Linked DNA regions of Anolis sagrei. The protein of the gene in region 1 purifies or fractionates together with the protein of each later gene. This does not show direct contact. Links are inferred from orthologs where the notes say so. Each region holds a gene or a part of one and is shown in the gene's direction. Other genes may lie near its edges. The genes, in order: SKP2, CCNA1, USP18 and FOXO3.

Evidence for each region.
Region 2: the proteins of SKP2 (region 1) and CCNA1 purify together in Homo sapiens (affinity purification with western blotting; 4 studies listed by BioGRID). This does not show direct contact. The link is inferred for Anolis sagrei from reciprocal best matches to the Homo sapiens genes SKP2 and CCNA1.
Region 3: the proteins of SKP2 (region 1) and USP18 purify together in Homo sapiens (affinity purification with western blotting; 4 studies listed by BioGRID and IntAct, with this or other methods). This does not show direct contact. The link is inferred for Anolis sagrei from reciprocal best matches to the Homo sapiens genes SKP2 and USP18.
Region 4: the proteins of SKP2 (region 1) and FOXO3 purify together in Homo sapiens (affinity purification with western blotting; 3 studies listed by BioGRID). This does not show direct contact. The link is inferred for Anolis sagrei from reciprocal best matches to the Homo sapiens genes SKP2 and FOXO3.

The regions. Positions count from the first base shown.
Region 1 is NC_090022.1:279,560,755-279,568,159, reverse strand, and holds the start of SKP2 (S-phase kinase-associated protein 2), read left to right. Parts: upstream 1-4,396; 5' UTR 4,397-4,574; coding exon 4,575-4,582; intron 4,583-5,594; coding exon 5,595-5,845; intron 5,846-7,405. UniProt on the Homo sapiens protein: Substrate recognition component of a SCF (SKP1-CUL1-F-box protein) E3 ubiquitin-protein ligase complex which mediates the ubiquitination and subsequent proteasomal degradation of target proteins involved in cell cycle progression, signal transduction and transcription.
Region 2 is NC_090023.1:35,422,325-35,429,221, forward strand, and holds the start of CCNA1 (cyclin-A1), read left to right. Parts: upstream 1-3,896; 5' UTR 3,897-3,966; intron 3,967-6,897. UniProt on the Homo sapiens protein: May be involved in the control of the cell cycle at the G1/S (start) and G2/M (mitosis) transitions. May primarily function in the control of the germline meiotic cell cycle and additionally in the control of mitotic cell cycle in some somatic cells.
Region 3 is NC_090025.1:180,571,954-180,579,808, forward strand, and holds the start of USP18 (ubl carboxyl-terminal hydrolase 18), read left to right. Parts: upstream 1-4,853; 5' UTR 4,854-5,022; intron 5,023-7,855. UniProt on the Homo sapiens protein: Interferon-induced ISG15-specific protease that plays a crucial role for maintaining a proper balance of ISG15-conjugated proteins in cells. Regulates protein ISGylation by efficiently cleaving ISG15 conjugates linked via isopeptide bonds.
Region 4 is NC_090021.1:94,338,704-94,346,625, reverse strand, and holds the start of FOXO3 (forkhead box protein O3), read left to right. Parts: upstream 1-4,907; 5' UTR 4,908-6,779; coding exon 6,780-7,316; intron 7,317-7,922. UniProt on the Homo sapiens protein: Transcriptional activator that recognizes and binds to the DNA sequence 5'-[AG]TAAA[TC]A-3' and regulates different processes, such as apoptosis and autophagy.

The DNA.
Region 1 (7,405 bases):
ACGAGAGCAGGGCCTCCCCAGAAGCTCTTAGGGTCTTGGATGGTTCATAAGGAGAGATAAATTCGGACAGGTAAGCTGGGCCAGATATACAGCTGTGTGGAAGGGCCCTGAGTCCACATTGACATATATTCCAGTTCAAAGCAGATAATGTGGGCTTTTATTCAGCTGTGTGGAAGGGGCTTCAGATATTCCAGTTCAAAACAGATATTGTGGGTTATTCTGCCTTGATATTCTGGGTTATATGGCTGTGTGGAAAGGCCCTGGGATGTAATTTACCAAAACATGGCCACGTTAGTCTGTAATATCAATATACAAACAGATCTGGTAGCATTTTCGAGACAGTGAGGGCATCTACACATACTACTGAGTGCTACAGCCTCAGTCAGGGAATCCTAGGTGTTGACGTTTGCTGAGGCATCGGCCTCTTCGGCAGAGAAGGCCTTGCCCGACTACCACCCCCTGCATGTAAACAACAAGGCCTTGGCGGTACTTACTCAGCCCCGTTGGGCGCAGGCCTCGCCCATCTCCCTCTCCCTCTGCCGCTCTCCTCAGCGAAGCCACTCACTCACTCACTCACTGCGCTTCCTGCTCTTCAGGCCGAAGCCGGCTCGCCTCTTCCTCCTGCGCCGCCGCCCAACCAACGCCACGGCCGCCTCTGACGCAACCTCCTCCTCGCCCAATCGCCGGCCGGGATTTGAAAAAGGTCCCCGCCCCATACGGGAAACCCCGCCCACTCACGCAAGGGGGCATGGGAATTGGAGTCTTTCTGCTTGTAGGAATCTGTTTAACAGGCCTGGGCCAAGTGGGGCCCTCCAGGTGTTTTGGACTTCAACTCCCACAATCCCTAGGAGATAGATAGATAGATAGATAGATAGATAGATAGATAGATAGATAGATAGATAGATAGATAGATAGATAGATAGGTAGGTAGGTAGGTAGGTAGGTAGAAAGGTAGATAGATAGATAGATAGATAGATAGATAGATAGATAGATAGATAGATAGATATTCGATTTGTTGGATTTAAGTTGCATTTTTGGAAATACAAAATTAATTTAAAAAATAAGAAAAACACCATCTACAAAACATCTTCCTATGAGAGCTGTTCATGAGTGGAACTCTCTGTCCTGGAATGTGGTAGAGGCTCCTTCTTTGGAAGCTTTTAAACAGAGGCTGGATGACCATCTGTCGAGTGTGCTTTGAATCTATCTATATCTATATCTGTCTCTCTATATATCTATTTATATTTACCTATCTATCCATTTCCATCTTTCTCTATTTATATCCATCTATTGATCTATATCCATATCCATATATCTCTATCCATATTTATATCTCTATATATCTATTTATGTCCATCTATCTGTCTAACGGCGCTCCATGCAGTCATGCCGGCCACATGACCTTGGAGGTGTCTATGGACAACACTGGCTCTTTGACTTAGAAATGGAGATGAGCACCACACCCCAGAGTCACACATGACTGGACTTAATGTCAGGGGACAACCTTTACCTCTTACCTATCTATCTATATCCATATCCATATCTCTCTATATCCATATCCATATCTATATCTATCTATCTATCTATCTATCTATCTATATCTATATCTAGCTATCTATCTATCTATCTATCTATATATATATATCCATCTATCTATTTCTCTATATCCATATCTCAAACTACAAGAAAGGAGATTCCATCTGAACATTAGGAAGAACTTCCTGACTATGAGAGCTGTTCATGAGTGGAACTCTCTGCCCTGGAATGTGGTAGAGGTTCCTTCTTTGGAAGCTTTTAAACAGAGGCTGGATGACCATCTGTCGAGTGTGCTTTGAATGCAGTTTTCCTGCTTCTTGGCAGGGGGTTGGACAGGATGGCCCATGAGGTCTTTTCCAACTCTAGGATTCTATATCCATATCTGTATCTATATATCTATTTATATCCATCTATATATCTAGCTACATCCATATCTCTCTATATCCATATCTATATCTATCTATATAGATATATCTATATCCATCTCTCTCTATCTATTGATATCTATCTATCTATCTCTCTATCTATATCCATATCTCTCTATATATATCTTTCTATCTATCTTTTTATCTATCTAGAATCATAGAATCATTGAGTTGGAAGAGACCTCGTGGGCCATCCAGTCCAACCTCTGTTTAAAAGCCTCCAAAGAAGGAGCCTCCACCGCACTGCAGGACAGAGAGTTCCACTGTCATATCTTTCCATTTATATCCATATCTATCTCTATATATCTATTTATATCCATCTATCTCTCCATATCTCTCTATATCCATATCTTTATCTATTTATATCCATCTATCTCTCTAGCTATAGCCATCTCTCTCTATATCCATATACACATTTATCTGTATTTATTTCTATTTATATCTATCTATCTATATCGATATCTATCTATCTATATCCACATATCTATATATCTATTGATATCTAGTTAGCTAGCTAACTATATCCACATCTCTCTATTTCCATATCTCTCTCTATATATCTCTATCTATCTATCTCCATATCTCTCTATTTATATCCATATCTATCTCTATATATCTATTTATATCTCCATCTATCTATCTATATCCATATCTATCTCTATTATCTATTTATATCTATCTATCTATATTAATATCTCTCTATATATCTATTGATATCTATCTCGCTATCTAGCTATATCCATATCTCTCTATTTACATATCTCTCTATATATATCTATTTATATCTATCTATCTATCTATCTATCTCCATATCTCTCTATTTATATCCATATCTATCTCTATATATTTATATCTACATCCATCTATCTATATATATCCATATTCATCTCTCTCTCTATATCTATCTATCTATCTATCTATCTACATATCTCTCTCTATATCTATTGATAGCTATGTATATCCATATCCATATTCATCTCTATATCTATTTCTATCTATCTATCTATCTATCTACCTATCTATATCCATATCTCTCTATTTCCATATCTACCTCTCTATATCTTTTTTATCTATCTATTTCTATATTTATCTATCTCCATATCTCTCTATTTATATCCATATCTATCTCTATATATCTATTTATATTTATCCATATCCATATTAATTTATTTATTTCAGTTACTTTTACCCCGCCCTTCTCACCCCCGAGGGGGGACTCAGGGCGGCTTACAAAGGAAGGCACAATTCGATGCCTATATCAAATATACATACATACATAACAGCACTTAAACAGTTAACAATTAAAATCATCAGTACATAACAATACACTAAAGGTAAAGGTAAAGGTAGTCCCCTGACATTAAGTCCAGTCATGTCTGACTCTGGGGTGTGGTGCTCATCTCCATTTCTAAGCCGAAGAGCCAGCATTGTCCGTAGACACCTCCAAGGTCATGTGGCCGGCATGACTGCATGGAGCGCCGTTACCTTCCCGCCGGAGCGGTACCTATTGATCTACTCACATTTTGCATGTTTTCGAACTGCTAGGTTGGCAGAAGCTAGGGCTGACAGCGGTAGCTCACGCCGCTCCCCGGAATCGAACCTGCGACCTTTCAATCAACAAGTTCAGCAGCTCAGTGCTTTAACGCCACCGGGGGCTCTAACAATACACTAACACAATAGTAAACTAATCCTATGCTCAGCGCTCAGAGTTCCGTAAATCCATTCCGTTTCGTCAATTCCTGCTCATCATCAAGGTCTTTCTTTAGCTGCCAGAATGTCCAAATGCCCGGTCCCACATCCAGGTCTTTAATTTTTTTCGAAGGGAATTCGCCGATCCAATCTCCCCGGGAAGTGAGTTCCACAGGTGAGGGGCCACCACCGAGAAGGCCCTGCTCCTCACACCCGCCAACCTCACTTGTGATAGAGGTGGGGTCGAGAGCAGGGCCTCCCCAAAGGATCTTAGACTCCGAAGTGGGACGTAGAGGGAGATCCGTTCGGACAAATACACTGGGCTGGAACCGTACAGGGTTTTGTAGGTCAAAGCCAGCACTTTGAATTGTGCTCGGAATTGGATCGGCAGCCAGTGGAGCTGACACAACAGGGGGGGGGGGGGGATATATTAATCTCTCTATACATCTGTTTATATCTATCTAGCTATCTATCTCCATATTCATTTCTCTCTATATCAATATCTATCTATATACATATCTATCTATATCCATATCTATCTGACTATATATCAATTTATATCTCTCTCTTTATCTATATCTATATCCATATTTTTCTATCTTATATCCATATCTATCTCTCTATATATCCATTTGTTGGATATAAGTTGCATTTTTGGGAAACTGAATCCCAAATTAGTTTAAAAATGAACATTTAAAAAAGTAACTTCTCCGCTGCAAAGCACTACCATTCCCAGGAGCCATTGCGAGATCCGGGAGAACGTTGGCCCGGGAAGGCGAAGCGCGCGAGCCTTTTTCTGCTGTGCGGGTTTTCCGGGGCTGCTGCTGCTGCTGAGAAGATTTGCTGGGTTTGGCGTTGCAAGAGAGGGAAAAAAGGGATCGGGGGGTCCTGGTTCTCCATGCAAAAGCCCCATTTGCAAGCACCATGCACAGGTAAAAGCGGATGGGTGCAAAGTGGTTACATTAGGGTGGAGAGCAGGGGGAATCGCAGTGGATCCCGCCCAAAACAAGGGATGGGATCACGCGCCTCTTTCCTCCCCCTTGGCTTCAGGATTTTAGCCATCATCCGGTGCAGTAGTATTTGATGGACATGTTCTTGCATTAAGTTATTTATGAATTGCAAACTTATTTTTTGTTTGGACTAGCGTGTTTGTAATTCCCAAATGTCTTAAGGTGCATATATATTGTAGATCAGGTAGGGGCAAATTTGGGTATTCCAGGTGTTTTGGACTTCAACTCCCACAATTCCTAACAGCCGGCAGCTGTTAGGAATTGTGGGAGTTGAAGTCCAAAACACCTGGAGTATCCAAATTTGCCCCTACCTGATCTATACTGTAAAAGAAATGCACTTATTATTATTATTTATTTATTTACAGCATTCATATTCCGCTCTTCTCACCCTACAAGGGACTCAGGAAGGATTACAATGCACATAAACATTCAGTGCCATAGACACACAACATATATAGACAGAGACACAGAGGCTGTTTAACACTCCAGCTTCATGAGGGTATGCATTTTGAATTCCAGCCACCGGGGGGAACTGTCACTTCACCATCCACTTGTGAGACCGATGGAGTACTTCCTCATTCTTTTGCACGCTGCTGGAGAGTTTTATGGCGTTGTAATTTATTTACCATATTTGTATACTACCCTTCTCAGCCTGAGGGGAAATATGCATCTTGGGACCCTTCTAGGCAGGCCCTATATCCCATGATCTCATCCAAGTTGTTCTGCTTTAAACTGGATTATATGAGTCCACACTGCCAGATAATCTGGGATAAACAGAAAACTTTGGATCAGATTCTGGGATATAGGGCCTGTCTGGAAGGGCCATTAGAATTGAGGAAATAGAGTATATCTGTAGCTCTCTCCTTCTGTTGTTCTTCACTTTCTTACGATATAAATGCCAGCTATATACCACCGTGTTTCCCTTCCTTTGTAGGAGACTTCTCCAGGAAATTCCAGATTCGGGCAGCAATGTCAACACGGACTTCATATGGGGATGGCATTCCAACAAGACGTCAGAGCTGCTGTCCGTCATGGGAGTCTCTGTCCTTAAGGATAAACTGGGCAACGAGAACACCCCCCAAGAGCTGCTGATGTGTGTGAGTCCACCCCAAAAACGGCAGAAAGTGAAGGAGGCAGAATTTGTGATTGTCCGCCGACCCAGGCGGCTCCTGGAGGTGGCGGCAGGTGAGATCGAGAATCGCAAAAAGACATTCAGGATTCCTAATTACTAATGGTAACAAATAAAGTGATTGAGCTTATTTGCTTTAAACGGTAATAGTAATTGTTTAATAGTCGTCATATAATAGCCATCACAATTTAATTATCTAGATCAGTGGTTCTCAACCTGTGGGTCCCCAAGTGTTTTGGCCAATAACTCCCAGAAATCCCAGCCAGTTTACCAGCTGTTAGGATTTTGGGAGTTGAAGCCCAAAACATCTTGGGACCCACAGGTTGAGAACCACTGATCTAGATCCTTTGCTGCAGCATTGCAAGGGATCTCTCCAGCTTCCTCTTCTTGACACGTCCCATAACTGGAAGAGTCCTGCAGATACTATTTCCCAATACAGGCAGCAAGATAGGTTCTGTATGTTCTTATGTAAGTCCAAACAGATACATTTTTAAGTATAACTCCAGTCTATCTATCTATCTATCTATCTTTGGATAGTATAGGGAAAGGTTAACATCCCTGTGGTGTTTGTCTTGCTGTCTGAGCCCCTGTTCAGAAGATTTCACCTAACTTTCTATCTCTGTAATAATCGGATTTTGATAAATTGGGCTTGTTGTGGAAGCAAGGATTGTTCATAAAGCCTCAGTGGAGATACCTTTTCCCCATGATTACTCTTCCAGGAGTAAATTTCTTCATCTAGGGGAAGATTTCTCTCCCTTCCTTTTGTCTCACCCCCGTTCTTCACTATGAGTTGTTTATAAGTCAGATGTTTATAACTCAGGGATTGCCTGAACCCTTGGAAGCCTTTTGGTTGGGACACTGCCGGACTGGAAAGATGGGTGCATCATCAGGCACAACTCCAATGACAGAGGTCCTATCATGTTAATTATTTCAATTTATGAAAGATATTAAGCTGGTATTGCACCACCTGACATCCGCCGGGAAGTAGCAGCCAATAGTGAAAGGACCAAGGCAGAGACATCTCCAGCTCATCCCCTGTTTGGGTATCAGCCAGCACATCAACGACTTAAATCTAGAAATAGTTTTCTAAGATCTACAGAGACACTTGCTGGAACACCTCAGCAAGCGAGAGTCCAAAAGTGGCAGGCTCAAACCCAGAACCTCAATCAATGGCTGATACCAAATGAGAAACTCCCCCCTGGGCACACAGACGACTGGGCGACTTGGAAGGCGCTGAACAGACTGCGCTCTGGCACCACGAGATGCAGAGCCAACCTTAAGAAATGGGGCCACAAAGTGGAATCCACGACATGCGAGTGTGGAGAAGAGCAAACCACTGACCACCTGCTGCAATGCAATCTGAGCCCTGCCACATGCACAATGGAGGACCTTCTTGCAGAAACACCAGAAGCACTCCAAGTGGCCAGATACTGGTCAAAGGACATTTAATCTACTTCCAAACTCGCAAATTTTGTATTTTGTCTGTTTGTTTGTTTGTTTTGTTCTGTTAGAAATGTAATACAATTGACTGGTTGCCCTGACACGACAAATAAATAAATAAGCAGTGTTAGAAAGTTAGGGCAGGGAACAATTTTTCTAGTTTTGTTGTTGTTGTT
Region 2 (6,897 bases), on another chromosome or scaffold:
AGACACTGAGAACTGGGAAGCCCTGGCTCTTGAACACTCTAACTGGAAGTCAGCTGTTACCAACAGTGCTGAGGCCAAATGGAGGGCGAAAGGAAGAAACACGTCAACAGGAAGGTGCATCATGCCAACCCTGACCAGGACCGCCTTCCATCTGGAAACTGGTGTCCTCACTGTGGAATAACATGTGGGTCAAGAAAAGGTCTCCACAGCCACCTACGGACCCAAGGCTTGGAAGGCCACCATCCTACTCAGATGTGAGTGATTGCTGCTGCTGCTGCCCTGGTCTCCTATACATGCAAAGGGATGCTTAAAATCTTACAAGAAAAGACTTTTGCTACATATGAAGCAAGAAAAACCAATGTCTAAACTGCTTTTTAACAAAAAGGCAAACTACTAAGAGTTATTTTTTGCAAACATATGTTGAATAATGGAATCACCTCTACATTTTAGGGGGGAAATCACCTATGCCTTTATTTATTTGCTATATTTAAAGCCTGCCTTTCTGAGCGATATGGCAACTCAAGGCAGGTTACAGGCTAGCACAATTCCATGCCATACATTCACAAAAGAGCAATTAAAAACAATCAACATAACCATATATATATATATATATATATATATATATATATATGCCAATAAAGCATGTAATCCTTTGATTGCAACAAAGCCTTTGATTCTGCAAGATATAATTTATCCAAGGCCACCCATAGGGTTTGCTCTAAAAGAAATAAAAATGTCAGTTTGCTTGACTTGATGTATTATATTTGTCAGAATTATATCCTGACAAAACTGCCACTAGAATGACACAATATAGAGAAACACTGGCAATGGGGTCAAAGCAGATCACATGCAAAGCAGGATTAGACTCAGAAGAAGGTGGCATCAAAAGTGAGGGAAGGAAGACCAGAAATGTAAGATATGGAGTTGATCCCATTGCAGAATATAGCAAAGACTTTGAACGAGTATTGATGGCAGTTAAGGAAGGCAGTTCAAAAGCAGAGTTAAAGCTAAAAAAAATTAAAAACCAAAATAATGACCACAGATGCTTTACATAACTTTGAAGTGGGTATATTGAAGACCTCAAATAGTGAAAGATTTTCCATAATTTGACTCACTCATTGATCAAAATTTAGATAGTCGAGAAACCAGAAGAAGGATAAAACTTGGAAGAGCAAATATGAAGGAACTAGATAAAATAGAGAGAGAGAGAGAGACAGACAGACAGAGGGCTAGTACAAATCAGGACTGATCTGTCAATTGAATGCCTAGCTCTTTAAGCAGCTCCTCATAGGGCTTGTTCTCCAGACCCTTGATCATTTTCGTCGCCCTCTTCTGGACACATTCCAGAGTGTCTGTACTGTAGAATTAATGTCGTTTGACACAACTTTAACTGCCCTGATTCAGTACTGTGAAGCCTTGGGAACTGTAATTTGGTGAAAGGCATTATAAAACTAAACTGAGCCATGGCAGTTCAATTGGTGTATAGCTGTGTTAATTCTACAGTGTAGATGCCCCCAAAGAAGCCACTGCCCTGAGTTTAGGAGACTTGAGCAGGACATTTGATGAGTGGGGCTCTTGGAGGTCTCGCATTCATAGATTCACCATAAATCAAAGTCAGCTTGACAACATATAACAACCACAAAGAGCTCAAGCTTCCAGCTGCACCTATAGATTAGCCCTGCTCACTGTGGGAGCTCCAGCTGTTGTTCTTGCTGCTTAAACCACCTCTCCAAACACAAGAGGCTTGAATAAAACATTCATTAAAAGAACAGCCCTGAAAATCTCAAGCAGGGAGTCTTAAGTATCCTCTCAAACACATAGAGGGAGACCAACGGAAAGCAAAGCATAATTAATTTCTGTTGAAACTAACAGGAAAACAATGGCAAAACTTTACTGCTCTCGGATTAAAACCTAGAACTGAGTCACACTTTGAAAAATGCCTCCTGGGGATTTTTAATACCATTTTATTTCCTTGCATAGCCTACATGCCAAATGTATATAAATGAGCAAATTAATTCTACCAGGTCAGTTTATAAGGAGGCAATACCTTTATTAGGATTAACGACGCTTCCACAACAGTGAACGGCATTTCCAGTTCTCCAGAATGCATCACCAGGCTTACTTGAAGTTAATTTAAAAACAGTCAATTTAAACAGTTCATAAATAAATAAGTCAAACCACTGCCATCCTAGATAAAGCGTTCTGGAGAATACAAAAGGTTGCACCCTGTTGTGAAACTGTCCTCAGTCCTAATAAAGGTGTTGCAGGCATGTGGGTATATATCTAACTCAAAATATTAACAATGGCAAACCATAAATAAAATAAAAATATTTCTCAAAATGGAACAAAACATACAGTAAGATGAAAAAGTATGTTTATTTTTGTGCATGTCCACTTTATTTCTATTTGAAATGTGTTCTTTGACTGTGATTTCCTGCTTCTTGGCAGGGGGTTGGACTGGATGGCCCACGAGGTCTCTTCCAACTCAGTGATTCTACCATATTCACATATCTAAATTCAGAGCCCACTCTCCTGACTAAAGAGAACAAACTGCAGCCTTCTAGATGCCACTGTATCCCAATTCTCATCAGCTCTACTCATGATACCTAATGATGAGGAATACAGGAGTTGTAGTCCAGCATCCAGGGGGACACATGAAATGACATGACGGGCCGGATTCCACCTGCAGGCCTTGAGTTTGACATTTGTGATGTATATTGCACAGTGAACTAAGCTTGTCACGACCTGGGGTTGCCTTCTCAAGGCTACAGAATCCTGGGATTTGTAGTTTGACAAGGCCTTCTTTGCCAGAGTGCTTGTGCCTCAATAAACTGCAAATCAAAGGATCCCATGGGGTATAAATATAGTAATAATAATAACACTTTACTTTACTGGCACAAGCCAGTCAAGGTGGGCCCAGTGGTGATTGGCACATGGGTGCAGTTCCTAAAGACCTTGTTCTGCACTTAAACACAATTGGCACTGACAAAATTACCACCTGTCAGCTGCAAAAGGCTCAGATCTACACGCATTATTGGCTGATACACCACACAGTTGTAGAGACTTGGGAAGTGTGATCAATACAACAGCCAGCATAGTGATTTTGTTGGCTGTGTACAAATCTTGTGTTTCAAATAAGCATTGAGCCAGGGCAGTTCCCAGTGGTGTCAAAACTGGATTACTTCTACAGTATATAGATCAGGCATGGGCAAACTTGGGCCCTCCAGGTGTGTTTTGGAGTTGAAGTCCAAAACACACCTGGAGGGCCCAAGTTTGCCTATGATTAAGCGGCTGAGGAGGGAACAGAAAGGATCTGAGGCCAGGAATTTTGGGAGTTGAAGTTCAACACACACCTGGAGGGCCTAAGTTTGCCCTTGCTTAAGCGGTTGAGGGGGGAACAGAAAGGGCCTGAGGCCAGGAATTGTGGGAGTTGAAGTCCAAAACACACCTGGAGGGCCCAAGTTTGCCCATGCCTGATATAGATGCACCCATGGAGGCCAAGGACCTCCTTGGGTGCATTGATCTACCCTGTAAGATCAACTCATTTTGAACTGCAATGGCTCAAGGCTATGGGTTCCTGGGAGTTGTTGCTTCACAAGGTCTGTGGCTGTGCCCGGGGAGAAAAGGACCTCGGGACACGCGACGAGACTGAGCCACGCGTTGTTGTGGTGGTGGTTTCTCTTGCGGGAAGGGGCCTAGGCTGGCTCTCCCTGGGCTTCCCTGCCGCATGCCGAGGAAGGAGCGAGAGGCTCCAACCAACAGCCATCCCCAACAGACAGTCGCGGGCGGCTTCCAAGTAGCGGCGGAGGAAGAGGCGGCGTCCGGTCCTCTATATAGGCTGCGAGGAGGGCGTCCCCACGGGCCATTCGCAGTCCCGGCTTTGTTTCGGAGCCTTGGCCTGCTTTGGGTTGGGACAGGAGAGGCCAGGAGGGAAACCTCCGCTGCCAGCTGGAAAGGACGCAACAGGTCGGGGACTGGGCGGCTGCGTCATAGAAATGGGTCTCCCTCCTTTGGCAGGGAAATGCGGGGCAGAAAGGAAGCGGGGGGGGGGGGGGCTTCTGCTGGGGAGCATGGGAAGCCCTTCCAACCTCAGACCCCCACCAGTGGGCACTTGCTCTTTGGGGAAACGCCAGGCAGAAGAGGAGGAGCAAACTTTTCTTTTATGGTTTTTTAGCCCTGTAGAGCAGGCAAGGGCAAACTTTCTAACTTGGGGGCCTCCCTGCTAGGAGGAATGACTGCCTGGTGATGGAAGGAAGGAAGGAAAGAGAGAAGGAAGGAAGAACGAAAGGGAGGAAGGGAAGGATGGAAGAAAGAGGGAGAGATGGAAGAAGGGAGGAAAGACAAAAGGTAAGGAAGGAAGGAGAAAGGGAGAGAGGTAAGGATGGAAGGAGAAAGAAGAAGAGAGGGAGGAAAGGGGGAAGGAAGGAAAGATGAAAGGGTGGAAGGGAAGGGAAGAGGAAGGAAAAAGAGAAGGGAAGACAATAGGGAAGGAATGAGAAAGAGGGAGAGAGGGAAGGAAGGAAGGACAAAAGGGTGGAAGGAAAGGATGGAAGGAGAGAGAGAGAAGGGAGGAAGGTAAGGAGGAAGGAAAGAAAGAAGGAAGGAAGGACAAAAAGGAAGAAAGGAAGGAGAAAGGAAGCTTATAGTTTTACAAGGTTTTGAACCTTCTCTGCCCAATATTGAGTGCTGGTCCTTCACCAAACTGCAGATCCCAAGATTCCATAGCAGGGAGCATGCTGCCAAACTGCATTAATTGTACAGTGTGAATGAAAACTGCAAGGCTCAATGCTGTGGATTCCTGGTGGTTTGTAGTTTGGTGAGGCTCTCATTGTTAAAGAAGGCAAACTGCTGAACGACAAACTCCCATGATTTTATAGCATTGAGCTATGGCAGTTCAAGTGCCAAACTGCATTACTCAGTGTATCGCAGACCTGGGAAAACATGGGGCTTCCAGGCTTCAGCCCCCCCCCCCCCCGAAATTCTCATGGTGGTTCGCAAAAAGGCCTTACTGGTGCATTATTTAAACTGTTATGTTTATTCATATCATGATCTGATCACCATACTCAATATATCCCATATGCATGGGGTTATTAGAAAACGATACAAAAGGTTTGCTAGGCTAGACCCTCTTTCACTCAGACTCGCTCCCCGCACCCCCGAAACAAACTCAGCCCCCCTCCCGAATTGAAATCCTGGCTATGGGCCTGCTTCCAGGTGTTCTGGACTTCAACTCCTACAATAACAACAGCCTCGGGCCCCTTCCTTTCCCCCTTTAGCCGCTTAAGCTTAAGTCCAAAACACCTGGAAGGCCCAAGTTTGCTCAGGCCTAGTGTATAGTGTCTACAAAGCCATGGAAGTCACTGGGGGAAATTGGACCGACTTTTGCCTGAACTACCTTTTGAGGTTGCAAGGTGGAGAAATAAACGTGTATGCTGTATTGAGAGTATTAGAGGAAGGATGGGAGTGTAAATGCACCTATTTCCCCCCCTCTGATTCTTTCCAAGTGAAACATGTTTTTATGATTTGAATACAACAGGAATACCTCTGGAAATAAAGCAACAGAGTTGCAAACTGTTTGGAAACATGACCTGTTGGATTCTGCAGGACATACTCCTGGGAACACTTAAATATCTCCTCATCTTTTGATGTAGTCATTTGGAAGTAAATGCAGTGAAACCTGGTTCCACCTGAGGTCCTTAAACCTTAGGATCTTCAGCTCCATTCCCCTTAAATCACTCTAATCCCATTGGTTCCAAACAGATGGATTTGGTTTGAGAAGGGAGGGAAGGAAGCAGGTGATGGGTCAGTGACACCAGTTTGCAGTTTGGGGGAAGCTGCAGGTAAGTTCATATAATGCTCCGGTTTTAAGTTTTGGCATTATTTAATTTCCTGATATGTTTACTGATAGCCTTTGACATGGCTATCAGTATGTCTGAATGAATCTGTGGTCAAACTATACCCAGTATTTTGCTCGTGAGGGCCACAGGGATTGCTTGAAAATTGAGTATTGTAAGAAATAGCTGAATGTTTACTCCAGGTTTTGAAAAACAAGTAGCTTTGGATGTTGAATAAGGCAGTCTTGCAACCTGTAAACCCCAAGAAGCAATTCATCCTTTTCTTGGCATGAAAGGCCATCTGAGGAATCTGGGAGGTTTAATTGCTGTGAAATAGCTTTGGGAAGCCACTTACCACCTAGGATAACATGCTTATGATTCTCACTGAAACAGGATGCCTCTCAACAAAATGTTTAATGTATTTGTATATATTTTAACTAGTACTGATGAAAGAGCCAGAATGGAGTGATAGTTTAAGTATTGGACTAGGACTCTGTGAGGCCAAGGTTTGAATTGCTACACTGTCTTGGAAACCCAATGGTTGACCTTGGGAAGGTCACATGCTCTCAACCTCAGAAGAATGCAATGGTAGGCCCCTTCTGAACAAAGCTTTTTTAAAAAAAAACAACCCTTGTGATGGGGTTGCCATAAATTGGGAGGGGTTCAAAGGCACATGGCCTTTGGCGTTCCATTCTGGAACCAGTTTGAGGCCCAGATGGTGATTACACAAATCACCGAGCACTGAAGCACATTTAGGGCTGTCTTTCTTGCACTTTTTGTGGAAGTTTGTTGTCTAGCTGCCACAGCCTGAAGCTTCCTTCGAACGTCATTGACCAGTCAGTGTATAAGGGGCCAGCAGCAGCAACTAGAAGAAAGGTCTGATTAACCTTTTCTCCAACCTGCAGTCTTATGGATGTGAAGCACAACAAATCCCACCATCCCTAGGTGTGAAAAAGAATGGTTATTTTAGGTCAATCTATCTGCAAGACTCTAAGTTGGGGGATGATGCCATTAATAAAATTTCTTCAATACCAAAGGCAAGCATTCAAAAGCAGAATGCACT
Region 3 (7,855 bases), on another chromosome or scaffold:
TGAAAGAAAAGGGTCTCAGTGCTGGTATCTTTTAGGAAAGAAACATGAAAATTGACTTATTTATTTATGTATTTACTATATTTCTACCCTGTCCTCTCCCACTCCAAAGGGGACTCAGAGCGGCTTACAAATTGGCAACAATTCTATGCCATATAAACAAACATATAAAAACAATGAATGGGTTAACAAAGAGTGGGCTTCTTATTTAAATGTTTAGAAGGAAAGTGCACCCTGTGCAGTTCTGGTACAACAAATTAGACCCTGGGTTGAAAATTCTTTAGTATTACACACAGTGGCATTTGCTATACAGGTACTTTGCATATTATTCCAGTTAGAAATATAATTTGAAGTAGTTTCTCTGTAGGTAACACAGGACATCTTTCTCATAATCAACAGTCCAAAGTCCAAACCATCTCTCTGTTCTGAAAGTCTAATAGAGTCTCTGTTTCTAGTCTGAAAGTCCAATGGAGTCTCTAAGTGTACAGTTCCTACTGAAGTCTCTAAGCATACCTGTTCCTACTGTCTCCTTAAACGCCTACTTTTCTACTGAAGTCTAAACCGAACTGTGCTAAAATGGAGTCTGAGTCCTGAACAAGCCCAGATCTGATCACATGGTCTGCAGCCCCTCCCACAACAAAAGAATTACGGAAAACTGCAAACCAACACACACACACACAATACAGTAAGCAATTATTTACATAACAAATAACTAGTGGAGGCTTGAGAAGGTTGCTATTTCCAATACAGGATCTATGGATATGGAGGGCCTACTGCACTTTTCTTTTGCACCAGGTACCATTCGATAGAACAGGCACGGGCAAACTTGGGCCCTCCAGGTGTTTTGGACTTCAGCTCCCATCATTCCTAACAGCCTATCGGCTGCTAGGAATTGTGGGAATTGAAGTCCAAAACACCTGGAGGGCCCAAGTTTGCCCGTGCCTGTAATAGACGCTTCTAGGAGAAACATTTGAACCAGAAGGCTCCGTTTTAGTGGATTTTGAGGGCACAGTAAGCTTGGTTCATAGTCAGAAATGGCAAGCTAACAGGACTGATTGCTGAAAATAAACAGAAGGAGCCTTAATGTGCCTTAAAACTATTTTGACGGTTTTATATCAAGGAGAAGAGATGCCTACTGTAGTGGCAACCACATATTAGTGGTTGGTGTCAATAAGGCACTGAATCTGCATTGGCCTTCACGTCCAAACTTTAAAGGAGATACTCAGGGTGCTGAATACTATCCTTAAATAACACTATGTAACAAAAAATGAAAACAAACGTTTCCTGGTTTGAAACGGTTATTCCCATTTAATTGTGCAGTAGTTACTTTGAAAGTAGTTATACTCCCTATATGCTATCTTAAACCAATTTAGCATATAGCATATAGGTGGTATATAACACCACATAAGATAGGGAAATTCAAAAAAAATACGAATACAAAATGCTGGAAATGCAGAAAACATGAAGGGACATATTACCACCTATGGTGGACATGCCCAAAAGCAATAACATATTGGAAAAGTATACAAAAATCATTACAAAAAAATTTAAAGATAAATATACCCCTAAAACCAGAAACATTCCTACTAGGGATCCATGATATAAAAATGGAGAAGAATAAGGACAAAATTCTATTTCTCTTAACAACTGCGGCCAGAATAATATATGCAAAGCATTGGAAGGAAAAAGAACCCCCGGGAGAAGAAGAATGGCTAACAAAGATCCTGGATATAAGAAATATGGACAAATTAACTTACATACTTTCAAAAAAAGGGGGCACTCCATCAGTAGAAACTGACTGGAAACAAGTAACAACATACTTGATAGAAGAAAAAAAATATGAAAATAATCATATGAAAAAGTGGCAAGCAAAACAAAAGGGGGAGAGCAGAAGAGAGAAGAGAGAGGAGTAGTTTGGAAGAAAGAAGGAGCGAAGGAAGAGGAAGAACCTCCAGAAGATACCGGGAAGTCAATGTCAGATATACACCTATCACACACCCTCTTTTCCCTCACAGTGACCTCCTTAATTTCTTTTTCTACACCTGGCACACCCTTTATTCTGAACAACTACCAAAAGCATCTCCCCCACTCTACCCCCCTCTATACTATCATTCCCCCTCTATCCCCATCTTTTGTCCCCACCTTCTTATACTTACCCGATTAGATACCGTATACTTTTTTTTTAACTAAAACTAATAAAGATTATTTTAAACTTCAAAAAAAAAAAAAGAAAGTAGTTATACTCCAGAAACTTCATTTTTGTGGCTGCCAAACTATGTTGCATTGCTTGAGACACAGATATTAATTGAAAAACGATAGCAAAATGTGCTGCAGGATAAGTTTTGTAAACTTTTTCCATGCTTTCAGGATACAAACAATTAGGAAATTACATTTATAACCTAGGAGCAAAAAAAGTGTTATGTAGTGTAATTTAAATGTCTTAGGTTGCATCTATACTGTAGAATTAATGCAGTTTGATTCTACTTGAACTGCCATGCCTGTATGGAATGCTATGAAATCATGGAAGTTGTAGTTTTGCAAGATCCGGTGCTTCACCAAAACACAAATCCCAGGATTCCAGAGCTTTTAGCTTGGCAGTTAAAGTGATGCTAAACTGCATTAATTCTACAGCACGGATGCATCCCAGTTCACAGTAAACGTGTTTACCTTATCCAACTGTCATCTGGCCCTGACACACATGAAGGATGACCTTCTTCTGGTTTTCCATGGTGAGAGCCTTCAGCAATCTAGGGTTGGGGCATGAGAAAAGCACACATTTCCTTCTCTTAAGTTTCATTTCTTGGCTGTGACACATCAGGAAAGAAGGGGAGACGTAAACCTAAGCCAAAAGGATGTACGTGGGGAGGGACATGAAATCTAATGCACATAGCGAAGGGAATTTCATATGTGAGGCTCCACAGATGATGTGGCAAAATTGCAGGAAGAGGGTTTTGGAGAAACAAAAAAATGCAGCAGGGAGAACTATATGCTGCCTTTATAAACCTTAGTGAGGCATTTGATACTGTAAATAGAGAGACGTTATGGAGGAAATTAACTGATATCAATATGGAGCCCAGACTGCTGGCACTGATCAAAGCACTTTACATAAATACTTGAAAGTGTGACTTGGGATGCAAGGAGCCATGACAAATAGTGTAGAACAGGGTTTCTCAACTGGGGGTTTGTGAGGAAGTGTCAGGGGTCATCAAAGACCATCAGAAAACACTGGATGTTCTGTTCATCATGGGGGTTCTGTGTGGAAAGTTTGGCCCAACTCTATCATTTGTGGGGTTCAGAATGCTCTTTGATTGTAGGTGAACTATACATCCCAGAAACTACAACTCCCAAATGTCAAGCCCTATTTTCCCTAAACTCCACCAGTGTTCACATTTGGGCATATTGAGTATTTGTGCCAAGTTTGGTCCAAATCCATCATTGTTTGAATCCACAGTGCTCTCTGGATGTAGGTGAACTACAACTCCCAAACTCAAGCTCAATGCCCACCAAACTATTCCAGTATTCTCTCTTGTTCATGGGAGTTCTGTGTGCCAAGTTTGGTTCAATTCCATCGTTGGTGGGGTTCAGAATGTGCTTTGATTGAAGGTGAACTATAAATCCTAGCAACTATAACTCTCAAATGACAAAATCAATCCCACCAGTATTCAAATATGGCCGTATTGGGTATTTGTGCCAAATTTGGTCCAGTGAATGAAAATACATCCTGCATGCCAGGTATTTACATGACAATTCATAACAATAGCAATATTACAGTTCTGAAGTAACAAAAAAAATAATGTTATGGTTGGGGGTCAACACAACACGAGGAACTATATTAAGGGGTCATGACATTAGGGAGGTTGAGAACCACTGTCCTAGAGGAAATGAAGTCTGAACTCTCCTTAGAAGTCCAGATGGCTAAAGTGAAACTGTTGTGCTTGGCCATATACTAGGAAAGTAATAGTCACTAGAAAAGAAAGTAATGCTTGGAAAGGTAGAGGGCAGTAGGAAAATAGTGCTCTTTGATTGTAGGTGAACTATAAATTCCAGAAACTACAACTCCCAAATGTCAAAGTCTATTTTCGCCAAACTCTATAAGTGTTCACATTTGGGCATATTGAGTATTTGTGCCAAATTTGGTCCAGATCCATTGTTGTTTGAGTCCACAATGCTCTTTGGATGTAGGTGAACTATAATTCCAAAACTCAAGCTCAATGCCTACCAAACCCTTCTAGTATTTTCTGTTGGTCACAGGAGTTCAGTGTGCCAAGTTTGGTTCAATTCCATCGTTGGTGGAGTTCAGAATGCTCTTTGATTGTAGGTGAACTATAAATCCCAGCAACTACAACTCCCAAATGTCAAAGTCTATTTTCCCCAAACTCCATCAGTGTTCACATTTGGGCATATTGAGTATTCATGCCATGGAAGTTCTGTGTGCCAAGTTTGGTCCAATTCCGTCATTGATGGAGTTCAGAATGCTCTTTGATTGTAGGTGAACTATAAATCCCAGCAACTACAACTCCCAAATGTCAAAGTCTATTTTCTCCAAACTCCATCAGTGTTCACATTTGGGCATATTGAGTATTCATAACAATAGTAACATTACAGTTCTGAAGTAGCAACAAAAATAATGTTATGGTTGGGGGTTACCACAACATGAGGAACTGTATTAAGGGGTCGCAGCATTAGGAAGACTGAGAAACACTGGTGTAGAGGCACCTAAGAGAGCAGAGTCCTTGGGCTGCATAGGTAGGAAAGGAAGGTGGAGGAGAACGAGGAGGCGGAGGCGCTTTGGAAACGAAGCTGGTTAAGTTTCACTTTCTAAAGCGAGCCGCCCTTCAGCGGGAAATCAAAACTCATGGCCGTCTGCTCGGTGCTGCCCTCTAGAAGTGACGCACAGCTGTCAAAAAGGGAGCCGACCGCGCCAGGATCGGAAGTTTCCCTGTCGCTAGTGTGGACGCACAGTCGAGCGGAGTGGAGACCAAGCAGCCGGGAAAGGTTGAGCCCTCCTCCTCCTCCTCCATCACCGTAAGTTACCTTCCAAGCCATCCTTCTCCAACCTGGCCTTTTGGGGTTGATCTACAGTACTGTAGAGTTATTGCACTCAGGCAAGACTTAGTTCCATGCTCTGGGATCCTCGGAATTGAAGTTTGGTGGGGCACCAGGACTCTTTAATTGTAGGTGAACTATAAATCCCAGCAAGTATGTCAAAGTCTATTTTCTCCAAACTCCATCAGCAGGGAAGGCTAAAGACCAGGTAAGACTACAACTCCCAGGATTCCATAACATTGAGCCATGGACCTCACAATGCCTGCCATAGATGCGGACGAAACATCAGGAGAGAATGCTTCTGGAACATGGCCATACAGCCCAAACTTATTTACACACTTATTTACTTATTTAGGTGAGTCCTCATAGTCAAAGGATGATGGTCCTCCAAGTCGGTGGCTGTGGAGCCTTATTCTTGACCCACATTAGGTGATCCCTCATAGCCCAAGGATGATGGTCCTCCAAGTCGGTGGGTCTGTAGGTGGCTGTGGAGCCCTATTCTTGACCCACATGTTCTCCCGCAGTGAGAACATCGGTTTCCAGGTTGAAAGTGGTCCCGGTTAAGGTTGGCTTGACGCACCTTCCTCTTGGCACGTTTCTCCCTTTTGCCCTCCATTTGTGCCTCTTTGAATTCTGCAGCACTGCTGGTCACAGCTGACCTCCAGTTAGAGTACTCAAGGGCCAGGGCTTCCCAGTTCTCAGTGTCTATGCCAGAGTTGATTAGGGTTGGCTTGACACGCCTTCCTCTTGGCACGTTTCTCCCTTTTGCCCTCCATTTGTGCCTCTTTGAATTCTGCAGCACTGCTGGTCACAGCTGACCTCCAGTTAGAGTACTCAAGGGCCAGGGCTTCCCAGTTCTCAGTGTCTATGCCAGAGTTGATTAGGGTTGGCTTGACACGCCTTCCTCTTGGCACGTTTCTCCCTTTTGCCCTCCATTCGTGCCTCTTCGAATTCTGCAGCACTGCTGGTCACAGCTGACCTCCAGTTAGAGCACTCAAGGGCCAGGACTTCCCAGTTCTTGCTGTCTGTGCCACAGTTTTTAAGGCTGGCTTTCAGCCCATCTTTAAATCTCTTTTCCTGTCCACCAACATTACATTTTCCGTTCTTGAGTTGGGAATATAGTAACTGCTTTGAGAGATGGTGATTGGGCATTTGGACAACATGGCCACTCCAGCAGAGTTGATGGTGTAGGAGCATCGCTTCAATGCTGGTGGTCTTTGCTTCTTCCAGCACACTGATACTTGTCCTCCTGTCTTTCCAAGAGTTTTGCAGGATTTTCCGGAGGCAGTGTTGATAGAATCGTTCTAGGAGTTGAGTGTGACATCTGTAGACAGTTCACGTCTCACAGGCGTATAGCAGGGTTGGGAGGACAATAGCTTTGTAAACCAGCAGCTTAGTCTCCCTACGGATGTCCCAGTTCTCAAACACTCTGCTTCATTCGGAAAAATGCTGCACTCGCAGAGCTCTGGCGGTGTTTTATTTCAGTGTCAATGTTGGCTTTTGTGGAGAGGTGGCTGCCAAGGACCTCACAACCTCTAAGGATGCCTGCCATAGATGCAGGCGAAATGTCAGGAGAGAATGTTTCTGGAACATGGCCATACAGACCAGAAAACTCACAACAACTCAGTGATTCCAGCTATGAAAGCCTTCGAAAATACATTGAGCCATGGATAGTTGAAGTGCTCTCAAACTGCATTCATCCTGCAGTGTAGATGTACCCTTTGAATCCCTTTTTTTCTGGGTTGGGCATCATTGGATCCACATTGTGTTTATATTTTTTGCAACATTGGTCCTTCAAATGCATCCTCACTTCTAAATGCATTGCCTTTAAATTCCCGGAGAGATGATGCAACTGACTCCCATGTTATATATGTGGATATGGGTGTATCTGCAGTTTGACATCAGTTTAACTGCCATGCCACAGAATCCTGGGAGTTGTTGTTTTTCAAGGTTTTTAGTCTTCTCTGCCAAAGAAGTTAGATGCCTCACCAAAGTACAATTCCCAGGATTTGATAGCATTGAGGCATGGCAGTCAAAGTGGCATCAAACTGTGTTAATTCTACAGTGTAGATCAGGCATGGGCAAACTTGAGCCCTCTAGGTGTTTGGGACTCCAAATCCCACCATTCCTAACAGCCTCAGGCCCCTTCCTTTCCCCCCTCAGCTGCTTAAGCTGCCATGTTCCAGCAGCATTCTCTCCTGACGTTTTGCCTACATCTATGGCAGGCATCCTCAGAGGTTGTGAGGTCTGTTGGAAACTAGGAAAATGGGGTTTATATATCTGTGGATATAGTTTCCTACTTTCCAACATACCTCACAACCTTTGAGGATGCCTGCCAAAGATGCAGGCATAATGTCAGGAGAGAATGCTTCTGGAACATGGCCATACAGCTCAGAAAATTCACAACAACACAGTGATTCCGGCTATGAAAGCCTTTAACAACACTTAGTTTTAATCTTGGGAGCATGAGACCTTTGGTTTAATGGCTTTCTTTCCATTGCTTCAAATGTAATTTATCCAAGCATTTTATGTACAGTTTAAATGTCTATTTTCCAGGTAACTATATATGTTATATTTTGGCAAAATGTCAGATGCTTTCCTGGTACTTTGCAATTACTAAATGAATCCATAAAGTAATAGCCCAAACAAGCAAGTCAGCTGATTCCCTTATCAAAATGGTAACAAATGTAAACAAGGAAGAATAAAGGGAAACAATATAATAACAAACATTGCAATAAAATATTGCGATGTTGAAATCTGCTTGGAATATTGACCAGGAAATCCTCTTTGTATCTATGCCAATTGGTCTATA
Region 4 (7,922 bases), on another chromosome or scaffold:
GCTACTGTTATGAATTGTCATATAAATTTCTGATAAGCAGGATGTATTTTCAATCATACCTGATATGCCCAAATTTTAATACTGGTGGGGTTGGAGAGGGGGTTGATTTTGTCATTTCGGAATTGTAGTTGCTGGGATTTATAGTTCACCTACAATCAAAGAGCATTCTGAATTCCACCAACGATGGAATTGAACCAACCTTGGCACACAGAACCAAAAGAAAATACTGGAAGGGTTTGGTGGGCATTGACCTTGAGTTTTGAAATTGTAGTTCACCTACATCCAGAGAGCACTGTGGACTCAAACAGATAGATCTGGACCAAACTTGGCACACAGACCCAACATGGCCAACTGTGAATACTGCTGGGATTTGGGGAGGATTGACCTGCGATTTTGGGATTTGTAATTTACCCACATTATTATGCATTTTCTAATGGGAGCATTAATAAAAACAAAAGGAAAGATTGACTTTCCCCCCTAATAAATAGCCTTACAAATTACCTAAGCCTCTTCTGCTGCTGCTCCTCCTGATGCTGCTGGGCCACTCTCAGTCCCATGTTGCACAGGTGCTTTCCATGTCTTGAAGGGACTCGCTGGCGTGAACCTCCCTCCAACCTCGTGTGCTCTCTTGCCTGAGCATGCGCACCACACTGCCATGTGCCGAGCATGCCTGCTCTTCCCTCCCTGCTTCTAGTCTCAGAAACAACCCTCTCCTTGGCTGAGAGGCCAGCCAATCACAGCAGAAGGAGGGCTTTTGATGGGAGGATTTCCCATCTGTTTCCAAAAAGGAAGAGAAGGACAGGCGGTGAGATCTTCAGCCTTTTCTGCCAAAGAAGTTCCTAAGACCATCAGAAATATGTGTTTTCTGATGGTCCCACCCAACTCCCAAGTAGAGAAACGCTGGACTAAAGAGTCCACGGCCAGGCCAGTTGGCTTTTGTCTCTGCATATGGCATCTTGTACTTTGCCTCAGGAAGCAAAATATATTGGGCGGTCCTGCTTTAAATATTCTTATGACAAAACACCAATTTTCACTTAAAAGTGAAGTCAGTCTGGGCATTAGCTGAAAATTCTCCCCTGGTAGTCAGTTAAGGGCATGATGTATCTTAATGGAATGCTGGATAAAATGAACTCTTTATCTGTTTGAACTTCATGTTGACTTTTTCACAGTCACTGTTTAAACAAAGTATAATTTACACAGAGAACTTAAAATGAAACCCTACCTTTGTGTGTGTGTGTAAATAAAAACTGTGTTAAATTAAATTACACTGCACCAGCTATAAAAATTTGCAACTCTATTGTTTTTAGTTTAAGCATTTGGCTTGTTTTTGAAATGTTCAGAAATCATCGTCAGAAGAAAATGCTCATGCCACAATAATCCCACAAAGAACAGTGAAATTATAAATAAGCCATACAGAAAATGTACAGTCTAGTTCTACACATATAAGGAAGTCCTACTATATTCATTTGAGGGCATTTCTTTGTCTTTTTTGTATATAGAAGTGTAGCATTTAAAAACAATATTATTTACTCATTATTACCTGCATTTAGAAAACCTAAGGTTATATGTATGCAGCAGCCACGATATTGGAACCACTTTTTAAAGATTGCTGAGGTTTTGCTATCTAGAATAAACAATGACGAAAGTTTCTTTGTCAAACATACAGTTTTGAAAGTGGGCCAAAACACACAAATAATGTTGCAACTTTACAGTATTATTTAGTTAAAGTTCCCAAGAAAGAAAGGTCAAGCCCCATATTTTAATGGATTATAGTCACTGAACAATCACAGTAAAGATTATTGTCAGTATAAGATCCTTCTATATCCCATCTGGTTCACTGGTATATCTGATCAAGATGAACTGGGACATATTTTCAATAGCTAAGAGGCAAGTTATGCATTTTGAGGCCTAAATACCCTAAAGACACCAGATCCTGCCTGATCTTGGAAGCTAAGCAGGATCATTGCTGGTTAGTTCCTAGGTGAAAGATTACCAACAAATGGCAGGTGCTAGAGACTATATTTAGAGGAAGGAACAGGCAAAACATATTTGAGTATTATTCCTTTCCTCAGAAAATCATATTAAATTCATGTGGTTGCTGTAACTCAGCACACACACACGTTATGTATCCATGTATATATTCTTGTTTATGCCTGTTCCAGTAGTCAGTAATCTTTAGATTTTGGACTTCAACATGAATTTGTTAACCAGGAAGATTGAAGTAGACTTTCCTTCAAACTCTTTTTTCAAGAATGAGTGGGTACCCCCAAAAACTGTACTCACCTCATATGTGTGACTATCCTGATACAAGATGTTACATCAGGCACAGCCAAATGATGGCCCTCCAGGTGTTTTGGACTTCAACTCCCACAATTCCTAACAGCTGGTACCGGCTGTTAGGAATTGTGGGAGTTGAAGTCCAAAACACCTGGAGGGCCATCGTTTGCCCATGCCTGTGTTAGATGTTTGTGATTACTTGCATGCCACATTCTGGCTGAAGATACAAATTAGTTCTGAAGTTTTTTCATGTGGCTGTCTCCTCTAGGTCTATGCGGCTCTGGAAAATACAGGATGAACAATGTGTTTTCTTCTTCTCAGGTGTAGACAGGCCCATAGTTGAAATCTTATTACAGGACTTTCTCTGCAGGGAGAGGCGAGCATCTGAGGAAGCAGGCTTAGGATCTTTCTCCCAGGCTCTAAGGTGCCACAAGATCCTTTCACTTATTGCATGGCAGGGGGTTGGACTAGATGGACCATGTGGTCTCTTACAACTCTATTATTCTATGATTCTGTGACTAATATTCCAAATGAATATGGTTCTAGGCAAGTCCAAACTTGTTCACCCACTCAACTAAATGTAAGGCCAGAATAATTGCCCAGGCTGTTGCAGTGATAATAGAAACATCCAACTACACTATTACTTTTTGGTTTTGTTTTTAAAAATGTTGTTTTCCTAACCCATGCACATTTTGTAACAAAACAACAGAGCTGAAAACATTGGTCCAATGTTCTAGTATGTGAAAAAGTAGTCAGCGTGTACCTTAGCTTCTGTGCATTTAAAACAGAATTGTGATTTGTGGGTAATAGATTTGTGGGTGATAGAGAAGAGCAAAAGAAGCTAAAACTCTACTACTTCTTTCCACCTGATGCCAAGGAAGCTGTCCTAACCCTAAACCACTGCCTGTCATCAGTAATGGACTGGACGAGGGCAAACAAATTGAAACTTAATCCAGACAAGATAGAGGTACTCCAGGTCAGTCAGATCAGGGAATAGGGATTCAGCCAATGCTGGATGGGGTTACACTCCCCTGAAGACAGGTCCACAGTTTGTGGGTCCTCCTGGACTTGATATTGAATGTGGAGGCCCAGGTATTGGCAGTGTTCAGGAGGGCCTTTGCACAATTAAAACTTGTGTGCCAACAGTACCCATTCCTTGAGAAGCCCAATCTGGCCACAGTGGTACATGCTTTAGTTACACCCTGTCTGGATTATTATAATGTGCTCTACACAGGGATGCCTCCCTCTATGACCCAACTCGGAGGTTAAAATCACTGGGGGAGATCCTGCTCTCAGTCCCACCCTCCTCACAAGTGCGACTGGTGGTGATGAGATAAATTGCCTTCTCAGTGGTGGCTCCATGGCTGTGGAACTCTCTCCCCAGTGAAATTAGATCTGCTCCATCTCACCTGACCATCACGAAAAAAACCCCCTGAAAACTTGGTTCTGGGATCAGGCTTTCAACCAGTAACAGGAGTAGTGCAATATGAGACTACAAATTAATATAATGATCACTTGGACCGGACCTGGAATACGATTTGGATCATGTGATTTTAATTGATGTTTTAATGCTATGTTTTTAATGGGTTTGGTTTTAAAGTTTTTGTTTATTTACCACTGTATTCATATATGGCATTGAACTGTTGCCTTTGTAAGGCCGCCCTTCGGGGTTGAGAAAGGTGGGATATAAATGTGATAAATAAAAATAAGTAAGAGTGCTCAGAAACTTTGGCTGGTCCAGGTTACTCACTGGGGCTGACTACAGGGAGCAGACAACCTTCTTGTTGCAGCAGCTTCAATGACTGCCAGCCTGTTTCCGGGCACAATTGAAAGTGCTGGTTATGACCTTCAAAGCCCTAATGGTTCAGGTCTAGGCTATTTGACTAATTGAATCCCCTTATACAAACCTGCCCAGGCCCTGGGATCGTCAGGAGACGCCCTTCTCTCAGTCCCACTTCCAATCTCAAGCTTGGTTGGTGGGAGCAAGAGCTGTGGCCCAGTCTGTGTTCTGTGTGTGTATATTTGTGTATATGTGTATATATGTGGTTTAGCACATACATTGTAATGTATTTTTTTATTTTTTTGGCTTTTAAAGTCTCTTCTGCTGTGTTTTTCCGTGTTTTAATGAGTGATTGTCTCTTGTTGACCTGACAGGTGTATTGTGTCCAAATTTGGTGTCAATTCGCCCAGTGGTTTTTGAGTTCTGTTAATCCCACAAATGAACATTACATTTTTACTTATATAGATTGTCGTACATGTTCATGGCCGGAATCACTGGGTTGCTGTAAGTCTTTCGGACTGTATGGCCATGTTCCAGAAGCATTCTCTCCTCACCTCACAACCTCTGAGGATGCCTGCCATAGATGAGGAGAAACGTCAGGAGAGAATGCTTCTGGAACATGCCCATGGAGCCCGAAAGACTTACAGCAACCCAAAATATTCGTTTAGGGGTGCCTTTGTTTACTGCACACTTCGCCTGCATTGTTTCAGACCTTGATCCGATTTCAGGAGGGACGCCACGAGCGCGACTCCTGGTAGCCCCGCCTCTCTCTAGCCCCGCCTCCTTCCCCCGCCTCCCGGCGCTGGCCCCTCCCAGGCGGCAGGCAAGAGGCGGTCGAGTGGGCGTGGCTTGGCGAGAGCCAGCGGGTTAGGTTGAGCCTGGCTGCGTGTGCCTATAACTTTGTGTTGCCGCTCCTGGTTGTTAGGAGAAGGAATGCGGGCGCCAGCAGAGCGGAGCGCGAGCCGGGAAGGAGGAGGAGGCTGCTGCTGCTGCTCGCGCGGGCTGCAGCAGGCACGAGACCCGCTTCCGCTGCTGCTGCTGGTGCTGTTCCTTCAGCAGGCGCATCTCTGGAGGAATCGGGATCGGGCTGCTTCTAGGACGGCTTCCCCTTTGGAAGCCTGAAGCGGAGCCAGCTGCAGAGAAAACAGGAGCTCCGGCACCCCCTTCCCTTCCTGGGATTTCTCTCCAGCTTGGACCGAGCCACGCTTGTTTCCTTGCTTCTTTTCTCCTGGAGTGCGAAAGGGAAGGGAAGAAGGAAAGGGAAGAAGGGGAGCTCTGTCAAGATGGCAGCAGCAGCAGCAGCGAGGAGAAGAAGGAGGAGGTTATGAATGCGGTGCCGCCGTGGGTGCAGCAGGGAGAAAACCTTGCAAAGGAGGAAGAGAAAGAGGAGGAGGAGGAGGACTTCGGGGCTTCCTCTCTCTTTCCGGACCTGTTGGGGGAAAAGACCCGCTGCTGCTTGGGACCCTCGGCCGCTTTCCCTCTCTTCTCTCCCCGAAAGAGGATTGGAGGGCAAGGAGAACCACTGAGCTCCCTCTCTGGCGTATTTTTTGTCCGTTCCTCCGTTCCTCCCCCCTCCCTCTTCTGGAGTATTGGCATTTCTTCCGATTTTTCAGGGCGGAGGAAGGAGGAGCGAGGTTGGGACCCTCGTCCGCTTTCCTTCCCTTTCTCTCTCTCTCCCCGAAAGAGGATTTGAGGGCAAAGAGAACAGCGTATTTTTTTTTGTTAGTTCCTTTCTTTTCCCTCCTTTTTTCCCCTCTCCCTTTTTTTTAGTATTGGCATTTCCCCCCATTTTTTCAGGGCGGAGGAAGGAGCTGCTGCTGCTGCAGGGCGCGATGGTGTGCCTTTGAACCAGCTTTTGGAGAAGGAGGAGGAGAAAGAGAAGAAGACCCTTCTTGCCTTTTTCTGCCCCTAGTCTGTGATGTGGGCAATGGGGCCGGGGTCCCTCGGCTGCCATTGGAGGAATCCGGCGCCACGGAGTGAAAGATAAACAAACACACGGTTTGCTGCCTTTGCGCGTGAGAGAGAGAGAGATCCCGCTTGCAAGTCCGTCCCAGTCTCGCTTTTGGAGGAGGAGGAGGAGGAGGAGGAAGGACTCCCCTGGCGGAGGGGCTGCTGCTTTCTTTCTTTCGTCCCCAACCAGGAGAGGGGGGAAAGGGACCGCACTCGAGAGGGAAGGGGCTTCTTTTTCTCCCTTCGCTTTTCCAACTGCCCGTCCCATTGCTTTTGAGGGAGGAGGACTGGGCTGAGGAGCATCCTTCTTTCTTCTCAAGGAAGGAAAAAAGGAGAGCGGAGGGCTGCTTTTTCCTTCCTCGCCTCCTCTGTGGAGATTTCGATTTTCCAGTTGTTTTTTTTCCCATTGAAAAAAGGGGCGACTGAAGTGGTATTTAGTCGTTTTTCTCCTCCCTTTCTTAACGTGGGGCCTCGGATTGTGGGATAGAAGCCTTTTTCATCCTTCAAGCAGTGAAAAGACATCTTTTTCCCTCACTTGGGACCTTTGACTGTGGGATCGAGGTTTTTTTCTTCCTTCCACCACCACCTTTCTCGGGTGTTTCTTTCCATTGCTATTCAAGCCGGAGGAGCTTGAATGGAGAGTGGCGCGTTCTTCGCCCGGCCTCGGTGATCCTTCTCTTGCTGTCTCTCTCTGAGAGTCCAGCGCGGGCTCTTTCTTTCCTTCCTTCCTTTCTCTCTCTCTCTCTCTTCGGGCCGCTCCCCCTGGGCAAGGATGGCCGAGGCGTCTCCGGCGTCGCCGCTGGACGTGGAGCTGGACCCGGACTTCGAGCCCCAGAGCCGCCCGCGGTCCTGCACGTGGCCCCTGCAGAGGCCCGAGCTGCAGGGCCAGCCCGGGGCGGGAGGCGGTGCGGGAGGGGGCGACGCCATGATCCCCGAGGAGAAGGACGACGACGAGGAGGAGGACGAGGAGCCCGCGGGGCCCGCGGCGGGGAGCGAGGACTCTCCCACGGCGGCCACTCTCCCGCAGGGCGCCTTTCCCCCGGGCCCCAGTAAGCAGCCCCAGCAGCAGCAGCCCTCCTCTCCTCAGGCAGCAGCGCCGCCCCTGCCGCCCCCTCCGCCCCAGGCCCCGCGGAAGTGCTCCTCCCGGAGGAACGCGTGGGGCAACCTGTCCTACGCGGACCTCATCACCCGCGCCATCGAGAGCGCGCCCGAGAAGCGCCTCACCCTCGCCCAGATCTACGAGTGGATGGTGCGCTGCGTGCCCTACTTCAAGGACAAGGGAGACAGCAACAGCTCCGCCGGGTGGAAGGTGAGCGCGCCCGCGAGGGAGGGGGTAGGGGAGGGAGCAAAGGTCCCGCGCGCCCAGGCACTCCCTCGCTCGCGCCACACACTCACACAATGGACCTCTGGGCGCGAGGGCGGCAGGTAGCCAGGCAGGCAATTGGGCGCGTGACGAGCCCCCTTCTTCTTCTTCTTCTGCCCGGGGGGGGGGGGGGAGATTGTTTCCCACTCCGAACCCTCCAATCAGCGCTCCAGGAAAGAGCGGGAAAAACAGCCACGCGTTTAAAGATCCCCCCCCGCTCCCCCCGTCTCTCGTGCTCTTGAGTATGAGGCTATTATCTATAGATGTATATATATAGAAAAGAATATGAGGGAAAGAGAGATGTATACAGAGCAAGCATTGGCCAACTTGGGCCCTCCCTCCAGATGTTTTGGACTTCAACTTCCACCATTCCTAACAGCTTCGGGCCCCATCTCCCCCATCAGAGGAATGGTGAGAGTTAGAGTCCAAAACACCTGGAGGGAGGGCCCAAGTTTGTCCATGCCTGATATAGAGGGAGTGGCTGTGAGGGATACATCTCTGTCTATAGAAAGAGAGGGAGTCAATGAGGGGATATATTATAGAGAGGGAAGT